4 linked regions of the Schizosaccharomyces pombe genome follow. The main gene of each other region encodes a partner of the protein of the gene in region 4 in a complex. Each region holds a gene or a part of one and is shown on either strand. Other genes may lie near its edges. The genes, in order: gle1, nup82, nup85 and seh1.

Region 1 (5,055 bases), on a different chromosome or scaffold from region 4:
CCTTGCTCATAAGATTTGCATTCTTCTTCCAACTACTAAAACACTTGACAATTGTCAAGGTTTCTACGAACAAAAGAATTGTAACCTTAGCAAGGTGACTAATTATTGCTGAAAAACTTTGAATCTTTGTTTTCAGACTCAATTCAAGCTAATTGGCCAATTTTTTAATTATATTGACTTTCTTAGTACCTTTGCAAATACTGTTGGATTGCTTTGATTCAATTTTTTTGTTGCTATAATGTCTTTTGTTGACTTGGAGCAAGGAAGACATAAGATCGAGCAAAATGGTGACTTTCCAGCCTTAGCGAGCAGTATTGCTCAGGAAATTCATGCTCTACGAGGAAACACAGCAGCAATTCATAGATATTTGGTAAACAACCTTACGAAAAACTTACATGAGGTTTTAGAGCAATCCCGTGAACTATCTCAAAAGGTTCGTTCAGACTTGGTAAGGCTTGCCAACATCAAAGATACAAAATATGGAGAAGAAGCGTCGTCCTTCGCCTTATCAAAGCTTACCCGAGATTTTAATACGGTATTGGCTGAGCTTCAAAGAGTACAACAGAAATGCGCTCAACAAGAGTCTGATTCTGTAGCCGCAGCACAAGCTGCACTTAATCAAGACGTCGGACAACATTTTATTGAAGAGGAAGAGCGTAATGTGTCTCTATCAAATAATTCTTCTGGTCAACGACAGCCGTTGACTGAGTCAAAGATTTCAAATTCCCAACTAGAATATCAGCAAAGGCTTATTAATGAACGACAAGGTGAAATCGAAAATTTGACTCAAGGAATAAATGAACTCAATGAAATCTTTCGTAAGTATCAGCTAGTTGACATTTTTTTTTTTTCTGTTTACGTGATGGAGTTAGGAGTAATGCTAAATACTTGACCTAAAATATTTTCGCTTTTATAAATTTAAAGTTTTACTAACAATTTTCTTTTTAGGCGATCTAAGCACCATTATTAATGAACAGGGTGAACTAGTTACCAACATTGAATACAACGTCGGAAACACATCGACAAACACGAAAAATGCTTCAAGGCAGTTGCAGATTGCCAACGAGCATTCAAGAAAGGCTAGAAAAAGAAGCTTTTGCTTTCTTGTAATTCTAGTTGTTATACTGGGGGTAATATTAACAGCTTTAATAATGGGCTAGAAATCTTTTGCTATGTTTTCCTCATTCAGGTCCCAAAATGCAAATCTTTATAATTTAAATTCGATAAGAAGAAATCTTACAAAACATTTTCGGAATCGTGTGTTAGTATCGTTATACGTGAGTTGCTCTTCACGTGTTTGGTCATTACCGTATGTTCATGCATTCAAGATAGCGTATTCTATTCAATTCCTTGATACAGATTATTTCTTTACTTGATTTATTTTAATGACCTAGAGGAAGTCCTCCAATATCAGTTAATCCATTTTAGCTATAGACGAAGTCAAATCTCTCGCTTTGCCTGCAATTGTTTATATTGCATTCTTACTTATTGTATTTTTTTGCAACTTCATTGGGCTAGTTATACTTTGATTTTTAATTAATGATACTTGTTTATGTTAATATATACTTATGTCTCATAGTTTGGATGATTGCTTGTTCTGTTTTTTTAATTATAATTTAAACCGCCTAATACAATCTAATAACCTAAGACTTTTATAGTTTTGACACTTGTAATGTTAATTAAAGCAAGCATCAAGTTTCGATCAATTTGAGTTTCGCATAGTGAATGTCCATTCCAAATCGTCCTTTTACCAATTTCCTCAATTTCAGGAAATTTCAGTTATGGATACAAAAACAACACCTTTAATCCATGCTAAACTCGATGAAAAAATAATATCTAGTTATAACGATGCTAACGGTCTTGACATTGATGATTTATGGGATATATATAATGAAAAAACACGGCGAATGATTCACATAGTAAGTATTCGATTTTCTATTAATATTATTTTTATTAATAATGTTCTTAGATATCACAAAGGTATAAGCCTAAAAAACAATCTCCATTTCCTGTAATTGCCGATGAAAATGTGCGTATTTTCCCACCGTTGCATAAAACGATAGATTGGGCAAAGAAGAGGAATGTTGAAGAGCAAAATTTAATTGAACAAAGTATAACTGAATCTCAAAGAATTTTTTCAGAGAAACAAAGGTTAGAACAGGAACGATTTAATCGTGAATTGTTGGAAAAAAAGCGTATCGAAGCAGAACGCCAAAGACTGAAAGATGAAGAGGAGAGAAGAAAAAAAGAATTGATGGAAAAGGAAAAAAAAGAAAAAGAAAGAATCAGGCTGATAGAAGAGCAAAAACACAAGGAGAATGAACAAAGGCGATTAAAGCAGGAGCAAATTGACGCTAAAAGGAAAGAAGAAGAAGCTCGGGAAAAGAGAATGAAGGAAACATTTAAAGACGATCCTGAAGAGGACTCAAATATGGCTTGGTCCATCATTCATAAGATTAAGACTGAAGTAGTAGCCCCGATTTCTGAGAAAAAAGAGCTCAAAAACTATTGCTTTACTCAAAAACGGAAAATTACACCACGTTTAGGTCAAATTACTAAAAGCAATTCTCAAATCATGAAGATTACACAGCTACTGCAACAGACATTCCAAGAGGCCAGAAATACGGATCCCTTGGTCTATAAATGGGTTTTGAATTTTTTCTGCAAATCTGTGGTGAAGCAAGCAGAAGCAGAAGTTGCTGTAAACCCAATTAGCGCTTATCCTTTGGCAAAAGTTTGCCTTTTATTACAAACACAAAACGCCGACCTTAAAGATCTTCTTTTTGCTCGCCTACAGAAGAACTGTCCTTGGGTTATACCGTTTTGGTATGATCACGGTACGGAGAATGGTAAAAAGAAAATGGGATTTAAAAAGCTATCTGATGGCCATTGGGAACAAAATACTACATACAACGAGCGACAGTGCGGAATTTTTGCAGTTTACGCTGCTATACTTTCTTTAGACGATAGCTTAGCTCCCGAGAGCTGGAGAACATTTTCTCGATTGCTGAATCTTCCATCCCCTTCACAATTAATGAAATCGGACTTGGAACTAGGGCAAACTCTTTGCTCTATCGTCTCAACGTATCTTGATATTGCTGGTCAATCTCTATTACGAATATATGGAAGACAAGCAAAAAAACTTATTGTTTGTTCTTTTAGTGAAGCTTATCTAGGAGCGAACGGAGGTGGTAGTCAGTATGGTCGTCTTCGAATTGTTGGAGAAGACTGGATGAAGGGTCAAGGAGGGCTCAAATTCTCCTTTGAGCCTTAAATTTTTTTGATGGGTTTTCAACCTATTTACTTTTGATTTATAATATACTTACGGTAGAAATTATAGTCGTTAGGATGTGTACTAGATAATTGTTTCAATTTAATTCAACCATTACGATTTAAATGATCCTGGCTTTGATGTCAGTTTCGCTGATTAATACCATATTTACTTTTGCATTAAATAAAGATAATTTGACTCAAGAAATGCATTTTCGCTACAGACACTGCTATTCAAAATTTGTTATATCATGTTACCTTGATGTGACTTAAAGTGGATTTTTTCACCTACTCAACTTTGAGCCTTTACAAATATCTAGCTTGTTCCATAGTTGTCATGGACGAGAAGAAGGGCCATTATGCAAAACATTCTGGGCCAAAAGCTGAAAAAAAGAAGCTCAAAAAGGTGTCCGATGGTAGTGCTTCAAACAATCCTAAGGTATGTTGAGAACTTTTGTAAATAATCAAATTGGCTAATAAGAATAGGCATTTGCGGTAGCATCTGCAGGGCGCATGGCTAGGCAAGCTATGCGTACGGCGGATATTTCACAAAAGAAGCTTCACGTGCCAATGGTGGATCGCACACCGGATGAAGCTCCGCCACCAGTGATTGTTGCCGTTATGGGGCCTCCTGGCACTGGAAAATCTACTTTGATAAAATCTTTAGTACGTAGATATTCTAAATACACTATTTCTCAGATTACTGGGCCGATTACGGTGGTTGCAGGAAAGAAGAGAAGAATCACGTTTTTGGAGTGTCCTAACGATCTCAGCTCTATGATTGACGTAGCCAAGATTGCAGACCTTGTTCTCCTTTTAATTGACGCGAATTTTGGATTCGAAATGGAAACTATGGAGTTTTTGAACATATTAGCACCGCATGGTATGCCTCGCATCATGGGTGTATTAACACATCTCGATTTATTTAAGAAGACTTCTACATTGCGAGAGGCTAAAAAACGTTTGAAACACAGATTTTGGACTGAACTCTATCAAGGTGCTAAATTGTTCTACTTGTCCGGCGTTTTGAACGGACGATATCCTGATAGGGAAATCCTCAATTTATCTCGATTCATAAGTGTCATGAAATTTAGGCCTTTGCGATGGCGCAACCAACATCCCTATTTACTAGCTGATCGTATGGAAGACCTTACTTTGCCTGTTGACATTGAACAAAATCCGAAAGTTGGGCGGAAAATCACGTTATATGGTTATTTGCATGGCACAAATCTTCCTAAGCACGATGCCTCTGTACATATCCCTGGTGTTGGTGATTTTGTAACGTCTGATGTTTCTTCCCTAGAAGATCCTTGCCCGCCTCCCGATGCCGACAAAGTCCGTCGCCGGCGACTATCAGAAAAACAAAAATTAATCTATGGCCCTATGGCCGATATTGGTGGTATTTTGTTTGACAAAGATAGGGTTTACATTGAGGTACCAACTTCAAATTTTTCTAAAGATGAAAATTCTGAAGCTGGCTTTGGAGAGCGTATGGTTATGCAACTTCAAGAAGCCCAACAGCCTCTGGGAGTCGATGGTAATAGTGGATTACAACTTTTTAGCAATTCAGATGCTATTGATACGGTCGATAGAGAATCAAGTGAAATTGATAATGTTGGCCGTAAAACCCGTCGCCAACCAACTGGACTTATTAATCAAGAACTAATTAAGGAAGATGAAGGGGCATTTGATGATTCTGATGTTAATTCTGCTGATGAAAACGAAGACGTCGACTTTACAGGAAAAATTGGTGCTATAAATAACGAGGATGAAAGTGACAACGAA
Region 2 (6,132 bases), on a different chromosome or scaffold from region 4:
CAAGAGACTGGGAATTCCAGGGGAGGACTTGTCAGGTGTTTATAGTGCGCGAGAAGTGGTGGGTTGGTATAACAGTGATCCCAGAAATCAAAATCTTGAGTTGGATTTAAGTCAGGTAGAGGATGCAGTAGTTATTGGACATGGTAATGTTTCACTTGATGTAGCTCGAATCCTTTTAAGTAATCCTGCTCAATTATCCCCAACTGACATTAATCCATTGTTCCTCAAATCACTTGAAAGAAGCAATTTAAAAAGATTACACATTGTAGGAAGAAGAAACATATTTTCTGTCTCGTTTACTATCAAAGAATTGAGAGAACTGTTTGCCCTATCAAGTGCAGTTTTCTTTGCTCCTTCCTTTAATTATTCTACAAAGTGGATGAATGAAACAGATGCAAGCGGTTTGGATAGACCTAGAAAGAGATTGTTAAAGCTATTAGTTTCCGAAATCCAGAAAGCTGTTTCAGAGAAACGAGTAGCCCCTTATTCAAAAGACAAGAAATGTTGGAATTTGGAATTTGGCTTAACACCTGTTGAGATTCTAGGACATAAGGGAAATGTTGAAAATGTTCGCTTTCAGATTACAGATAGCATAAGAACAGATGCTGAGTCAAAATTTACAACCATACCCGCACAGTTGTTTATCCGAAGTATAGGGTATAAAAGTATGCCCTTGCCTGGAATGAAAGACGTTGGCGTTCCATTCGACGATGCAAAAGGAATTGTAAAAAATGTTAACGGATTTGTTCGTCCTGGCATTTACACTAGTGGATGGGTGAAACATGGGCCAATTGGAGTCATTGCTACGACCATGATGGATGCATTTGCTACAGCGGATACAATAACTAAGGATTGGAAATCCAAAAAGGAATTTCTCAAAAATAGTAAGCTAGGATGGGATGGCTTAAAAAAGAACATTAAAACACCTGTAATTCACTGGAAAGATTGGAAGGTAATTCGAAATGCAGAAATTGAAAGAGGTCTTAGGCATGAGTCTCTCAGTGAAAAATTCAGGTCGAATGAAGATATGATTAAACTAATATATCCCGGTAAAAAATAGATACTGCATAGTTTAATTAAATCATTTGTAACTTGAATATTGGTTTGTATAATGAAATAAGTCTTATGCCAAAAAAATATATCGCAAGCTGGTCTTACAGATTTCTTTGTAAAGCATTTTAAAATGGACCAACTCTAAAAATTCCGGAATAAATAGTAAGAAGTGCCTGTGAATCTTCCAATACCTCGTTAAAGTCCGAATTATATAACTAACTTTTTAATTTTTTTTCCAACGATTGTATCTTGGATTACTTTGAAGTTCTAGAGAAGATCCTAAAGGAGCAGAAGAAATTCCAGAATAGTTTGCAAGCTGTCTAGAGCTGGTTGGTTGCCTATTTTTTGCATATCCTAAAGTCAAGTTAGTATGTTATTAAGTTTGCAGAGACTGTATTGATTAAATATCGCTTCTTTTAGAATCCGACTACATACCACCACGTCCAGGATCAAATTCTTCCCGCATTTCATCTCTGACTTGGCCTCCGGATGCACCTCTGCCATATTGACGACCTTCTTCGTAACCATGATCCAAATCTGCACGAATAATTCTTTCATCCAATGATGTTCTTGAAATGTATTTTAAGCTATCTAAAGCATCTTGATTTTCAAAATATTCAACAAAACAAAACCCACATGGTGTCTGGTAATATTTGATTAGTACAAGTCGGGCATCTATGATTGCATTCCAAGACAACTTTGAAAGTAATGAACTTGAAGAGCAAATAAACAGAATTTTATGAAAACTTACCTTTGTAAATCTATCTACGCCCATGATAATTCGTCGAATCTCACCACATTTGGAAAATAAAGCATAAATTTGCTCCTCGGTGGTATAGAATGAAAGGTTGCCAACATAAACACAGTTACTTTGTTTCACAGCATCTAAAGCACGTAAATCGTTTTTAAACCTCCGTATGAGATACGGAGAAACAGCATCTAACCTTGTTATTGATGCCATTTTTCCTAGGCAGTGGTTGTAGGTTGAAGTCTAACTTTATAGTGTACTATGCATTTACAAAGTAAAAAAATCATCGTGTAAATGTAGCTAATTCCAACCCTTATAATAATTGGTTTTAAAATTACATTTGTTCTTTAAGAGAATTTGAATTAAGGAAATCGCTTTTTTGAATGAACTATGCTAGCTAACTTATTGCTTTATCTTAAATGAAGTAAAACTGTTAAATATTAGGAAACTTAATGCTTATAATGTAATTGATGTATAGAATTTGTATACCTGTTATTCGCAAACTAAAATCATTTAAATGTTTTTAAAAGAAGTAGCATTCAAGCACTATTACACCATATGCTGCATTTCGCTAGAAAGAGGAAAAGGCTCCAAAGATCTGGTTCTTTTAATTTACCTATAACAAGCTAGGTACAAATAATTATGGTATATTCTAATATTCAAAGTACACATGTATTACTTTTTACATTTATTTAGCGACGCATTCTTCCTCCTTATTTAATACTCGCAGAAGACTAACAAAATGGCATCAACCATCATGTCTCAAGAGGTATCATGGACAGACATTTTGGAAAAGCATCCTGCCCTACGATGGATTAAACCTATTCCTGAGGATTGGGAAATTTTTCCCAAGCATCTTTGCGCGTTTGAGTCGTTTCTGTACGTTGCTGTGGGGCAAGAAGTCAGAAGCTTGGATTGTCGACTCTTAAAACATAAAAATGAAGCATCTCATAAGAATTTTTACAAAAAACTTTTTAATCCAGAATTAGACTTTATGATTGAACAGATTTGCCTTAGTAAAAATGGCCGATTTCTAGCAGTGGTAGGAAAATCAAAAATTGTTATACTGGGTTTGAGATCAAAGTTATCTGAACAAAATCCACTTGCAGAGTCCGTTTCAAACTTTGGTGAATCTGTTAACAATTTTTCAAATTCAGAACACCAGGAAAACGGGACTAACTCATTAAAATTATCGGAGGTTACCATTTGTTCGGTTGCAGTTATTAATCCTTCTTCTCAAATTGTCTCCGTTCGATTTCACCCACTGGGGAAGTCCGGAAGATCTTTGGTTGTATTAACTGAAACTTCACTCTTGCTTTATGAGGCTGGAAATGGAGTGTTAATGCCCGATTATGAGATTCCTCTTAAATTGACGCATCAGGCTTCCAATTCATTTGATGCCGATGTAGATTTGCATATACCGACCGCTTTTTGCTTTAGCAATGTTTCTCAAGGGTGGGGGGTATTTACAATTTATATTCTGACCCGAGGAGGAGATGTTTTTAGCGTTTGCCCGGTAATGCCAGCAAATGCAATGATACCCCAAGACGTTTTGAAACAAATTAGATTAATTTTAACTAAAAAAGAGGACGATGCTGATGCGGAAAATCATCGTAGAAATGTTCATTGGATTACTAAACTATTAGGCGAAGCAGCACTTGCAAACGATTTAAGTACCTCATTTGTTATATCCGAAGGTAGCTCTGAACTTTTTGATTCATCTGATTATGTATCTGTTCGTAGACCAGATGATTTTTCATTTATACCTTCTATGCAAGGACCCTTTCTTCTACAACCAGCTGTAGCTGATGATGAGCTTATTGAAGACTATTGTGATATTTATTCTTTTGGTATGAACCCAATTGACGTACTCGCCATTGGTGGTTCCGAGGGTCGCCTTGATCTTTTGCTCTTAGTGTCAGAAGTTAGCGGACGATGGTCTAAACTTAATGATCATGGTTTAGCATCTATGAAACTTATTGTTTCACAAGTTCATTCACTGTATCTTTCTAACAATAACCCTTATATGGTATTACAACCAGATATTCAGTCTCCGTATTCTTTAATCGCATATCATGCCAACGGCTTACATGTAGTTGATATTGAATCTTGGGCTAGAGATCTAAATCTTAATTTCGAAAACAGTGAATTTTTGAACAACGAGGAAGAGAATGATGAGGATGAACTTTCAAATGTGTTGGTTTCTATTCCTTCTCGTACTTCTGTTTTGGAAAGATTGGACACAAATCCTCTGAACGAAAGCACTGACGCTGTTGTCGGTTGCGCCCAATTGTATTATCCCTCTCTAGGTAAAATCCTTATATCACTTACTAGGAATTGGCAAACTACTGTATTTGATGATTCTGATTTGGCCACAATGGGTGTCAACAAGGAATCTTTATCGAATGAAATGGATTACTCAAAATCACTTGGTACTTCTTCTCTTGAGCAAGTTGATGACTTAGATGAAAAGTTGACGTATACACCTTTATATGTTTCATTATTAGAAAAAACTCCCTTTACAGATCCTTCAATCCCAAGTTTGGTTGAAAGAACAATTGTACCTGCTGAACTGCAAAATGAAATTACAGTGTCATCCGCTTCCTTACGCTTTTTAGGAAAAGTTGTTGCTCGTTATAGGGAAACGCTGAATTTGTTAGATCATGGCTGTAGCGAGCTGCATCACCGTTTAAAGCTTCAAAGGGAGGAATATGAGCGACAGCAGAACCACATTTACAAACTTTCAGACAGGATTAGTAACTTTAGAGAAAAAGCATGGTCTACTGAGCATCTAGAGCACTTAACTTCTGATATGTCAATGTGTGAAAAGAGGATTGATCAGGTTTTACAACGTGTTATGGACTTGCGTGTCCCTGATCTTTCTGATAAGGAAAAGCAATTTATTAAAGAAATTGGAAATTATAAAGAAAAAGTTACAGGCGAGCGTGGTATTGAGAAACGAGTTGAAACTCTAAAAACTCTCTTGCAGCGTACCAAACCGAGAGATGCACAAACAACGCTAGTCGCATCTTCTTCGGATATGCGCCTTGCTGCTATTGAACAACTTCAAAAGCTGTTGGCGCAACAAAGCTTATCTATTAAGGAACTCAAAACTAAGACTGTCTCTTTTCAAAGATTATTACAAACATCTTGAAAAAAATTAGTCAGCTAAACAAAAAAAGCTATTATAGTGTTAAACTAAGCGTAAGTTTTTTTACCAGAAGTTTTCTTCTCTTTTTACCTTTGATAATAGATTTTATAATCGGAATTTTGGCGGATATTATTATATTTACTCTGGCCCATTTAAAAATTCATTAATATTAATGGTCGATATTTTATATTTCCTAAGCTCTGATTTTTAAAATTTGAACTTAATATAATAATGAAATCTTTTAGAAATGCAATTGTCTTGGTTATTGTTTTAATAATTTAAACAAACAGCAGTTATGCTTTTTTTTTTAAAGTCTTACATTAAGGAGCGAATTTTTTACTCATTCGAGAGTATTGTACCCACGAGGCAAGTCTCTAAAGCTTAGAACATATAATGGTTAGTAACATAACGTACTATAGTGTAGTGAGATTTTATTGACATATATTTCATATAGTGCGATTTATACAGATTATTACTAACTTTCGTAAAAAGAAACAAGAACTTGACCCACTAACATCTCACTCTTCAAACCCATCAAATCTTTTCCACAAAATTATAAGCGTTTTTCCAAAGATAGGGAAGTTTTAAAGTATGGCGCGGAAGAGAACTAATAAAAGAAATAATTCGGATAAAGAAAATGGAAATGTTGGGGTTGTCCAAAATAAGGACAGCGCGTCTTCCAAGACTACCGAGCCAGCGAGGCTTACTAAACATAAATCTTTGGCTAGAAAGCCAAGTCAAAATTTTATTACGCGTACTATATGGACCTTTTTGTTGCTCGGTATATTTTTCACTGCTTTGGCAATGGGTCACTTTTGGGTTGTTCTGCTGGTCACTATAGTTCAGATTGGTGTGTACAAAGAGGTGATAGCTATTGCAAGCGTTCCCAGTAGAGAAAAGGATCTTCCGTGGACAAGGTTTATTAACTGGTATGTGAGATGATACTGTTCACTAGCTTTTCTAAAGTGTTTAACTGTGATGTTGGTGTTCGCGATCAGTAGAGTATTTTAAAAAAAAATAATAGAAAATGAAAAGCCAAAATCGTTTTTCTCTTTTTAGCGTCAAATTTATTACCTTTTTGTTTTTTAAGGCAGTTTTTTAACTTTTTTTAGGTATTTTCTAATGACAACCTTGTATTACGCTTATGGTGAAAGTATCTATGCTTACTTTCACCATCTTT
Region 3 (6,312 bases), on a different chromosome or scaffold from region 4:
TTGACACATAACTTGAAGCTTTTTCCCATCAGCATGGATTTCATAGAAACGCAGCTTATTACCAGCAGTACGAAGCCCAAGAACACGGCCGGCAACTGCAACTTCAACTTCAGGCTTAGTTTCACCACGAGCTAGTCCCTCATATTTGGCTATAAATTCAGGGAGGGTGATGGTGACCTGGAACTTGTGGGGATAAGGATTAGGATCCTTCGTTTGGCGTAATTCCATGATAGTACGAGAACGATTTTCAAAGTACTGGGAAGGGTCCAAATCTTCTTCCTTCTTTGAAGAGCTCTTAGGAGCAGCAACAGGAGCAGACGCAGCCTTTTCGGCTTGCTTTTTTGCTTTAGCTAATTCACGAGCACGTTGTTTTTCGCGCTTCTTTAACTCAGTCTTTGAGACTTGTTCACCAGTGACGGGATCAAGGACTAAAGCCTTTACAGCCTGTGTAACTCCATTCACCTGTTCCTCACTCATTTTAGCTTACAATTGCCGTTTTCAGGTTTCAGAGAAATTTTCGTGGAGGAAGAGAATATTTACCCCTTGTAGATGGTAGTTCCGTAACATAAGATAGTGTAATATAACACATTCCGTTATTTAGTTAATATTTTTTTAAAATGATTCTGTTGATATATGCTAAACGTTTGAAGATGTGAGTAATAAATGTGTAAAATTTTTTAGATTTACAACATCGGCTGGGTTCACTGATTTTGGATCCTCCCTATTATGGTATTAGACGAGACATTATAATGGGTCTTTAAGATGAACAATTGTATCTTAATAAAAACATGTATGAAGCTTCTATGTTACAGAAAGATTAAAATGTCAAGTAACAGAAATAGCCTAATTTAAATCCCCAATTGAGTAAATAACTCAATTATGTACAAGTGAGCCAAAATTTGCAGAAAAAATATATAGCATAGCTACTATAGAATTAAACCGTTTTTATTTTTTTAAGTGAAGAAAATACCATGATATCGCAGAAGAAAGACGCTCATGAATGGATAGTAAAAGCTGCTGGTCCTTTACAGTTGACTGTTGATCCTGTAAGACAGCGATACAATCATAAACATTAACAAGAGAAAGCTTAAAATCTGTCGAGTTAGACTGTAAAGGATTATTCAAAAATTCGTGAAGTAGTTCTAATAACTTAGGGAATCGACTTGAAGGGAAATCAACCATTGTTAGTAACCCAACAAGAAGTTCAGAGGCATTGAGCTCTTTTTTGTGCTGAAGGTAAAAAAAATATTGATGAATTGTAGCAGCTGGAGATATTATCGAGGCAAGGGTCGGGGTACAGGCTTTAGGAGAGCTAAACAATTCATACAACAGTTCATCTTTATCGGGACTAAATGACTTCTTTTCTGCAATACATATATCAAACAATTCCCAAGTAACGCGATTTAAAGCAGAATAGTTCGCAGCATTATCTAAAGCAATTAGTGCTTCACCATAGTGATTACGTGCAATTAATTCATCAGCCCAATGAGTCAATACTAATTGAGCTTCGTCCCTTAGTTTAAGCTGCTTGCATAATTGAAGTGCAGTTTCCTTGGCATCCACATCGGAAAGAGGGACATATGGAATACAAGCTTTTATTCGTTGATAGCCGGAATCAGCAACACATTTCCAGTAAGCAAAGGACGTTTGCCAAAGATTTCTACTTTCTAAAACACACTGCCCATATTCCAGTATAAGATGTTCACGTAAGGTAATGGGATATTCCTCGGTTATGTAATCCCGCAAATGACCGCTTTTACTCAATAAGTCTGCTAAATGCACGGCTAGTCCAAGATCTAGAAGATAGGCGTGTTTAATAGCGTTAAGAGGTTCATTACTGCATAAATTAACGCATATTTGTTCATACTCAATCGTTCCATTAACGTAAAACTTTGAGTCTTCTCCAGTTGCAAGTTGATATAATAGAGATATATCTTCAGGATTTTTACAATCCAAAGGACCATATAAAAATGCTAAAGCTGAAAAATATTCCTGCCAGTGTGCGCAACTTAACATGATGACTTCTTTATTTCCATTCAAAATATCAAGCAAAACAACAAAATCATCCAAAACTTCCGAATCAATATCCCGATGTTTCTTAACCACATGTCTGAGGTTAGCCAAGCGTGATCGCCACAGTTTCCATCGTCTTTCAAAATCGGAAACCGACCTAATTCTCTTTTGGTGCGTACAAGGGCTGTAACGTAATATATCAATAAGTTCGTCAACTGTTTCTTTAAGTACAGGCCACTCCTTCGTTAAACCGGACATCTCGAGGCATGATATAGTTTGTTCAAAAAGTCCACGAATAGCTGTTTTATTAACATAAGGCCAAAATTCAGGATGTTGGTAAGGTATACGATAAGCCATGATTTCGAGTCCATCATCGGCAATAGGCTGTGGATCATAGGCATTTACCCAATCTAAAATTCCTGTTGATAAGGTATAAGGAGAAGAAGGGGGGAAATAAATAGCTTCAGCACAGCGCCAAGCTGATTCCACTTCCCATAAAGAATCCAAAACAGGCTGACAATCTTTTTCACCCTCGTTAATACGCGACTGCAACTCCTCTAAAACTTGTATAATTTTAGAGCGGAAGAGCGAGCTTATTTTCCCATAAAACTGCGTTAACAAAAGCAAATTTGCCTCGCTGTCCAAGATAGGAGTCATATAGGTATCTTGTAATTCTTCCCATAATTCATGCCATGCGGTCAAAAGGTAATTTGGTTCAATTAGAGTAGAAGGAGTACTAAATTCATACACCAGAGATTCTACTTCTTCAAATTTATCAGACTTTAACGTATTTTCGTCAAATTCTTTGTTATTAATGTACGCTAGTCCTTTTCTCAAAAAAGGATGCAATTTGAAGGCTACCGTTCGGCCTTTTGAACGCCAGTCATTCAACTTTCCATTTTCTATAGGTGCATTTTGTAAATGATAAACAGGAAGATCCACTTCATCCGAAGATTCCATATTGGAATGTTAGTAGTTCCGAAGAAAGTAAGAAAAAAGCCTTGTAAGATTTGGATTAACCAAAATATAAAAGAATATATTTATCTGCTTTCCGATACTCAAAAAAATCAGTAAGTATTAGGAATTTGCATGTGTCCACCTGCAGGCGTTTTTCAGATGTCAAAAAGGATGGCTCTTGCTCGACCAGGAGTAATTTAGTATAAAAATTAAATCTCACTTGATTCTTGTTGGTTTTTTTTGACAACGAATAATACTAATTATCTAAGGAAGAGCAGACACTCCTTTAAAGATGCTTTAATCGTAAAGTAAGGTTGATCGAATTGGAGCCAGGCTACAATATGAAGTTTGAACTCAGATCGTCGCAACAAAAAATAGCAGTCTTCCTGACTTTCTTTAATGTTATTAGAATTAAAGGAATTAAAATAAAAATTAGAAACGAATATGCCGTTGCTTTTATCTTCGTCAAAATTCGATGCATGATCGTATTTCATGGAGGCATAAAAAAATTGATCATGTTTGCAAATTAATTTAAATTATAAATTGTAATAAATTTCGTTTCTATATAAATTTGTTATCACTTATTTTACCAGTGAATTAACCAAGATTCATGCTTACATATTCGATAAATCTTCGATGGACTAACTACACACGTAATTAACGTTTCGAACCTTGCAACTGACTCTTTTAAAGAACATTACCTGTCTGTTGGAAGGACAGTTGATAATCAAAAAGTATTTCTATAATGAAGAACTGTTTACTTAAATGATTTTAAAATTCATTGCAACCATGTCCACACTTAGACAATGATCATTTAACTTTAGCAACTTAATTATAGCCATACTTGTTTTTCGGATTATGAACGGTTTATACGCCGTAAAAGTCCGCAATTGAATTTCGTATCTTCCAGTTAAAATACAGAATTTAGGCTGTGCTGCTAACGAAGAAAAGTACTTGCAATCTAGTATGAAAATACGTTATACATTAAAAATAAGTTTCATTGAGAACTGTTGGCAATTAAGCAATTTATGTTTAATAGCAATATTTGTAAATGCAAGGGTAACTTACAGAGTTTGATGCTATATATATCATTATTGAAGGGATTCTGAAAAAATAGAACTAAACAGTCATAATTGAATCTTTGCATACCGCTTTTTTGTCAAGATATATGCCATCAAAGTACAAATTAATTAATATTATATTAAACAGAATTAGTGTCGATTTATTATCATCGATAATATGCGTTCAAAGTCAATAAAGTATCTATAACAAACAAATTAAGAATGGTCGTGTATTATTTTTCCTTTGCGGGAATTACCTTTGTTGTTAAATGTACTCAAGGAACACTAAAGGAAAGAAAGACCTAGCTCAAAAGACAGCAGGAAGGAGCAAACTGTGCGTGACGATCGCTAAAATAAAAAATTAAATTACTCCTTACCAAATTAAAACCTTTGGAACAAAACAAAGTATGATCACTTTAGATTGTCTACCTAGATGTTCTAAGGCTTTAATAAGTGAATATAATATAAAAAATTTACTTAATTGTGTTACAAACGAATGTATCACATTGCGTTTTTGCCTAGTTTGTTTACGTATTTAACGAATCACTGCAAATGATTTTAACGAGTTAAACAGAAAAAACTTTCCAAACACCAACATAAACAGTATGTTCGACTGATTTTACCCTTTTGTTATTGCTTTGGTTTAATTTATATTTTCTGTTATAACTTGCTGAATTTTTGTATATATTTTTTGAATTGGAATATTACGCTTGAGAGCTTTGGTTTATTTTTTTGGTAATTTGTGGATATCTGAGAATAAAGCCTTCTTGCATGTATACAATCGTTTTTTTGAAACATTCTTACATCATACCATCCAAGAATACCATTCAAGTATCTTTAAAAAGCCATGTCTGTACTAATTGAAACTACAGTTGGTGATTTGGTTATCGATTTATTCGTCAAGGAAGCGCCCAAAACTTGTGAGAATTTTCTTAAATTATGCAAATTAAAATACTATAATTTTTGTCCATTTTATAACATTCAGCACAATTATACCTGTCAAACAGGTGATCCTCTTGGACCAACTGGAGATGGTGGTCGATGTGTGTGGAATGTACTGAATAAAGGAACACGCTTTTTCAAAGCGGAATTTAATCCTTCTTTGGTACATAATAAAATGGGCTTGGTTAGTATGAGCACAGCAACTATATCTTCTAGAGATGACAAATTACTTGTTTGTGGTAGTCAGTTTATAATAACTTTGTCAGACAATTTAGAAGGACTTGATGAAAGATACCCAATTTATGGACAGGTTGCTGAAGGCTTTGACACGCTACTGAAAATCAATGACGCTATATGCGATGAAGAGGGTCAGCCTTATCGTGATATTCGTATAAAACACACAATTATACTAGATGACCCGTTTGAGGATCCACCCGATCTAGTGGAGCCTTTGCGGTCACCGTCTCCAACGCCTGAACAATTAGCTACGGTACGTATAGGGGAAAACGAACAAATTGAGTCAGAAACATCGGAAGATAAATTGCAAAGAGAGAAGGAAATGGAGGCAGAAGCAGAGGCTGTTACACTAGAAATGATTGGTGATTTACCCTTTGCTCATGTTGCTCCTCCCGAAAACGTTTTGTTCGTTTGCAAATTAAATCCCGTTACCCAAGATGAAGATTTAGAGTTAATATTCTCGCGATTTGGAAAAATTATCTCCTGCCAAGTTATTCGAGATAAAGAAACAGGCGATAGTCTTCAATATGCCTTTATCGAATTTGATAACAAAGAAAGTGTTGAAAAAGCTTATTTTAAAATGCAAAATGTTTTAATTGATGATTCTCGAATTCACGTAGATTTTTCCCAAAGCGTGGCTCGTTACAGACAATATTACAACTCCAATAGGGACCGAAAACGTTCTTCGTCTCGTAGTGATGATCGTGAGTACCACCGTAGGTCTGATGGTCGTTATGACAGATCTAATTACCGAGACGACTATAGGCATCGACGGAAAGAGCGTGATCATCGTGACGATCAAAGTTCATTTAGAAATGAAAGATTTTCTAACTACTACGGTGATGATCGTTCATACCATAAACGGAGAAATACTGGAAATAAAAATTGTGATGATCACTTACGAGATAAATCTCCTGAACGAAGGTATAGATATGATAGACGTTATAGAGATGATAGATATCGATAGATCTTTATTATATTCGTACCTTTCTTGTGAATATTATTTATGACTGATGAAATTACTAAAACATAGTTGAATAATTGATTAAGACTTCAAATGTATGGAATGAAATCTACATTGCTTATACTTGTAAAAGCAAAA
Region 4 (4,676 bases):
TACATAACACGTAATTTGGACTCATACTTAGAGGAATAATTTTCAACATTATCTAAAAGTAGTTAACGATTATAAATATCCTGTTCAAACGTGAAGTAGCAGCACATATTTTTTCGTTTACAAATAGCTTAGTAATGAAGTTTCCCCAAAAAAAAATAGTTTAATATTTCGTAGTCGGTTTGGGTAACGGTGATGCTCTGCGATCATATCACATTACTCGATAAGTACAAAGATTAAATAAAAATAAATACACGGTATCTTCTCTAAAAGGCATTGCAGTGGTGTCAAGTAGTACCATTAAGGTTGGATCTTTCGTTGGCATAATTCCAAAGATCTTCATCTTTTAGTCCCAAAGGTCCCATTGTCATGACATTAGTGCCTTTTGCGGTATGCCACACGATAACATGAGGAGGGTCATTTGTATTACTAAGTTCCCATAAGTATGACAGTATGCTTTTTATTTTCTTTTGGATATCGGGGTCATGGACAGTAAAAATTGAGCATTTGCCAAGTTTTCTTCTCCATATACTAAATAAGCAAAGAACTTTGTATTTATCTTCTCCAGATATGTGTATAAGGGGACTCAAGCCCATGCTATCAAAAATTAAATATTGGCTCCATGCTTCATGAATTGAATCTTTTCCTTTAAAATTATGAACTACAGCTGTTAAAATTTAAGAAAACAAAGTGTCATTATCCTATTTTTGACGCACCGTTTGATTGTTTATCATTATTCCTTATAAACACCTTAATTTCCACATTGTTACATTTAGAACCCTTTAGTAATGAAAACTTTCTGTTTTTAGGTACCTTATTAGTTTTCAAACTCAAAAAATTTCGCAATGTCTTAAATAAGCCTTTGCCATCCTTATGAAAACTTTTTTTATGCCCTATTTTGCTGTCTGATACGCTTGAGTATAACGTTTTTGTATCAGATGAACCCTCCCAGTCATTATAATCATCCTCTTCAACTGTACGTAGACGATCCAAGTAGTTATCCGAGAACGGCCTGATTTGTTCCATTTCTGGCCTTGATCGAACTAACTCAGATTAGCGAGTAAGGGATAGGCTTTGTTTTTTATTTTTAGAAAAGGGTCGTTTTACAATACTCAATATAATCAAAATTCCGTAGAGTCAAAATGGCATTGCCAATTGACATTCAGTGTATAAAAAATAAAAAAAATTGAAAAATTTCCCATTTAAAAGATATACTATACTTGTGGCACTGACGTGCAATTACAATCATTATTACTTGTACATGACTTGCCTATTAAGTCCTGAAGTATTGTAGTATAATAACACACATGAGACAAGAACATATTATGGGTCACAAAAGTCATTTTGAAATCTGTGATAATCTGCAAATACAAAACTGAAAAGAATTGACTGGTAGTGTCACTATTTTGTTAAACACTGACTGCATTTAATAAATAGACAAGCTTATAAATTCAAAAAACCAACACTTTAATGATATCAATGTTACTACTATCGTTTGTCTCTTTGCAAAATCAAATAAAATGTTTTTATGAATTTTTTTGCTAATTTTGATTACGGCTCCTCAGCATTTTATTGTGAAGTTCTTATTTTACAAAAAAAGTATTAACATTATATATGCATATTTTTTAATGGGGGACTAATATTTTCAAATTACCTACTTCAGTTTTGCATTAATTAAATCAATAATTTTATCAAAAGATTTTGTACCTTAAACAAAATATCAATAATACTTTTAACTATACTGAAACCATTAAAAAAAGCACATAATTTCATATTTGTAAATGAAGGTAATTAATAACTAACTATTGACTGAGGTATACATACCACTAACAACTAAATAATTTAGTAGTCCGGAAGACTATTTGTATAGTACTTGAAACTTTCATTTCATTTTTTAAACGTCAATGAACATATTAGATTATTATCGTTTTGGCTTACCAAATCACTTCAGGTGAAATAACGTCAATGTGGTATACAAATTTGTTATTACCATCTATTAAGAATGAACTGAGTGAAGATTATGTGCAGTAGATATTTGCTGACTATTTTAGTCGTTTTGTATATTCTTTACTATGATTGTCGCCTTCGATGAGTTAACTTGTCGGACCGAAAGTTAAGCATGCGAAAAGTCTTCTTTACAAAAAATTTACTTCTTTCATTTTTTCTAGACTTACCCTCTTTTTTTTTGCGCTGATACCGATAATTTACATATAAAATCTTTTGGCCCTTCTTTACTAGCTCACCTCGTCTCTACCAACATGGATGATATTTCGGCTACTACGATTCAAACAAATCACCAAGATTTAGTGAATGATGTTACATACGGTAAGGAAATATTATTTTAGATTTTGTAGCTAATTGTCAAGACTTTTATGGCCGTCGAATGGTATCATGTTCAGCTGATCAACGAGTCAAGGTTTACGATTTTAATGATGATACTGAAACATGGGCAATCACTTCTGAATGGAGGGCAGGAGATGCTAGTCTAATGAGGGTTGCTTGGGCTCATCCTTCATTTGGTCAAGTGCTAGCTGTCTGCAGTTTAGACAGAGGGGTTCGGATCTATGAGGAACAAAAAAAGAACTTTGAATCCAAGACATGGGTTGAAGTTGCAAAATTAATGGATGCTCGTAGCGCCGTATTAGACATATCATTTTGCCCTTTTCAACATGGTTGCAAATTAGCAGCAGTTTCGGCGGATGCTACTTTACGGATTTATGAGGCCATGGAACCCGGTAATTTAACGTATTGGACTTTAATGAATGAAATTGCTTTAATGCCGTCCCCTCCTTCGCGCAACGAGCAACCAGCGTTTTGTGTAAATTGGTGCCCATCACGTTGGCGAGAACAGTACATTGCTGTTGGATGCATGAATGATGCTTACATTTACAAGCAGAACTCTCATGGAAAATGGAAAAAAGTTGCTGAGTTACCCGGACATACAGATCTTATTCGTGATATTTGCTGGGCTCCGAGTATGGGCAGTAGTTATTACCTGATAGCTACTGCATGCAAAGATGGGAATGTTCGTATTTTTAAAGTTGAAACCCTTTGCGAAGAAGTATTTCAAGAGGAAGAAGATGCTGGAAATTCAATGACAGAAGACTCAAATTTCAATCTAAATTCTTTGAAGGTGGAACTCATTGGTGAATATGATAACCATAAATGTCAAGTGTGGAGATGCCGTTTTAATGTGACAGGAACTATTTTGAGCAGCTCGGGCGATGATGGGTGCGTTCGTTTATGGAAAGCGTCCTATGCAAATTTATTTAAATGCATATCTGTCGTTTCTTTAGAAAAGTAAGTTCAGAGATGCTTTCGGCCTCATGAATATATGATACTAACTTGTGACAGAAAACCTGAAAAATTGTGATTTACTTAGTTCAATTTTAATGTAACAGATACATTGAATGGCCGACCTTGCTTGGTTTCCTTTCTTAAATTATTTCATATTTACCAGCTAGATCATAACCAAATTGTAAAAAAGGAGATATTACTTTATAAATTTTTGGTTTTAATTTATAATTTTAGACAAGTGAACTAACATTCGCTTTGAGATTAAATTTTCATTTAGCGTAAAACTTCGAAATTAGACTAAGTCTTAATGTAAACTTTTAGGTAGAGTTCAATTCGAAAATTTGTTTTAACGAACTAAACAAGCGATGGGTTCAAAAAGCTATATCTGCTACAGGTTGTAGTTTGAAAATCCGGTAATCGCTACAAAAGCATAAAAAAAAAGAAAATGAAATTGCAGATAATCAAGATACTTGTATTAAATATTTTCACTATGATATTCTTCAACCATAGTTCAAACGAAACAGGTCATTTAAGACATAGTAGTTACCATTATTGTTAACAAGGTGAAAAACTTGGCTATAGCGCTGGGCCATTTGCTCTTCATCCAACTACAAAAAGGTTAAAAAAAGAGCAAAGCAAAAAAAAAAAAAATGAATAGAATAAGTAACATCAATCTTATAACTTACCAAAAGCTCACCTGTAACCATAACGATTACGGATCCAGTAGTACCAGTAGGTTGAGCATCCAAAGTTGAGATGCGGTGTTGAACGCGTTGAAAAGGCAGGCTCTATACCAAACAGTTAATAAAAAAAAGGAAGACGTTTCAGTTATTATCATACAACAAGTTTTTCCACAATGGCTTTAGTTCCTTGGAGTTGGGCTCCCTCAAAACTCAGCATCGACTCTTCTCTCTAATATATATAAGTTAGCTGCCCAGATAAATACACGTAGGATTAATTTCATAATTAGAAGTCGCATACGTATAGTGAAGAAAGTTGAGAACGATCGGAATCGAAAGTTTGGTAGTAAAATTGAGTGAACTGGGTCGCCAAAGCATTATAGTCTGCAGAGTATTAGCAATAAATCATACAAATTTTTATCTTACCAGCCATAATGAAAGATGGTGGTAAAAGGTAGACCTATTATTTCAAGTTCGAAAAATCGCGTCAAAAAAGATCGTACAGACACCTTAAGTAATTTAACGTAAAATGATACAACTCTTAATATGTAAAATAACATGATAAACTTATAGTTGTGTTATTTGGCAAAAGTCCTCTATTCGAATAGTATTGGCAATGGTAGAAAAACGAATTTGCAATAAGATTTGAAGGGGTTTTACTTCATGCAAACAACAGGATAGATGTTTATCCGTTCCTATTGA

Evidence for each region.
Region 1: seh1 (region 4) and gle1 share a complex: the UniProt entries of both Schizosaccharomyces pombe proteins name them as parts of the nuclear pore complex.
Region 2: seh1 (region 4) and nup82 share a complex: the UniProt entries of both Schizosaccharomyces pombe proteins name them as parts of the nuclear pore complex.
Region 3: seh1 (region 4) and nup85 share a complex: the UniProt entries of both Schizosaccharomyces pombe proteins name them as parts of the nuclear pore complex.

The regions. Positions count from the first base shown.
Region 1 is NC_003423.3:245,480-250,534, forward strand, and holds gle1 (nucleoporin Gle1), read left to right. Parts: upstream 1-1,749; 5' UTR 1,750-1,781; coding exon 1,782-1,919; exon of another isoform or gene 1,920-1,969; coding exon 1,970-3,274; 3' UTR 3,275-3,498; downstream 3,499-5,055. Other genes in the region: SNARE Pep12, read left to right, coding at 239-818, 949-1,160; GTP-binding protein Bms1, read left to right, coding at 3,608-3,709, 3,757-5,055. UniProt on the Schizosaccharomyces pombe protein: Functions as a component of the nuclear pore complex (NPC).
Region 2 is NC_003423.3:3,398,060-3,404,191, forward strand, and holds nup82 (nucleoporin, WD repeat Nup82), read left to right. Parts: upstream 1-2,558; coding exon 2,559-4,955; 3' UTR 4,956-5,250; downstream 5,251-6,132. Other genes in the region: mitochondrial [2Fe-2S] cluster assembly NADPH-ferredoxin reductase Arh1, read left to right, coding at 1-1,060; cbc2 (nuclear cap-binding complex large subunit), read right to left, coding at 1,277-1,407, 1,489-1,696, 1,805-2,014; bbl1 (phosphatidate cytidylyltransferase), read left to right, coding at 5,544-5,881, 6,065-6,132. UniProt on the Schizosaccharomyces pombe protein: Functions as a component of the nuclear pore complex (NPC).
Region 3 is NC_003423.3:2,173,156-2,179,467, forward strand, and holds nup85 (nucleoporin Nup85), read right to left. Parts: upstream 3,276-6,312; 5' UTR 2,974-3,275; coding exon 946-2,973; 3' UTR 501-945; downstream 1-500. Other genes in the region: lysine--tRNA (Lys) ligase Krs1, read right to left, coding at 1-477; RRM-containing cyclophilin Rct1, read left to right, coding at 4,879-6,177. UniProt on the Schizosaccharomyces pombe protein: Functions as a component of the nuclear pore complex (NPC).
Region 4 is NC_003424.3:2,397,166-2,401,841, forward strand, and holds seh1 (GATOR2-SEACAT complex WD repeat subunit Seh1), read left to right. Parts: upstream 1-2,243; 5' UTR 2,244-2,255; coding exon 2,256-2,322; exon of another isoform or gene 2,323-2,363; coding exon 2,364-3,297; intron 3,298-3,351; coding exon 3,352-3,370; 3' UTR 3,371-3,554; downstream 3,555-4,676. Other genes in the region: glm1 (glomulin), read right to left, coding at 285-658, 714-1,023; nuclear import protein Nxt2, read right to left, coding at 3,795-3,902, 3,981-4,082, 4,135-4,206, 4,276-4,358, 4,401-4,407. UniProt on the Schizosaccharomyces pombe protein: Functions as a component of the nuclear pore complex (NPC).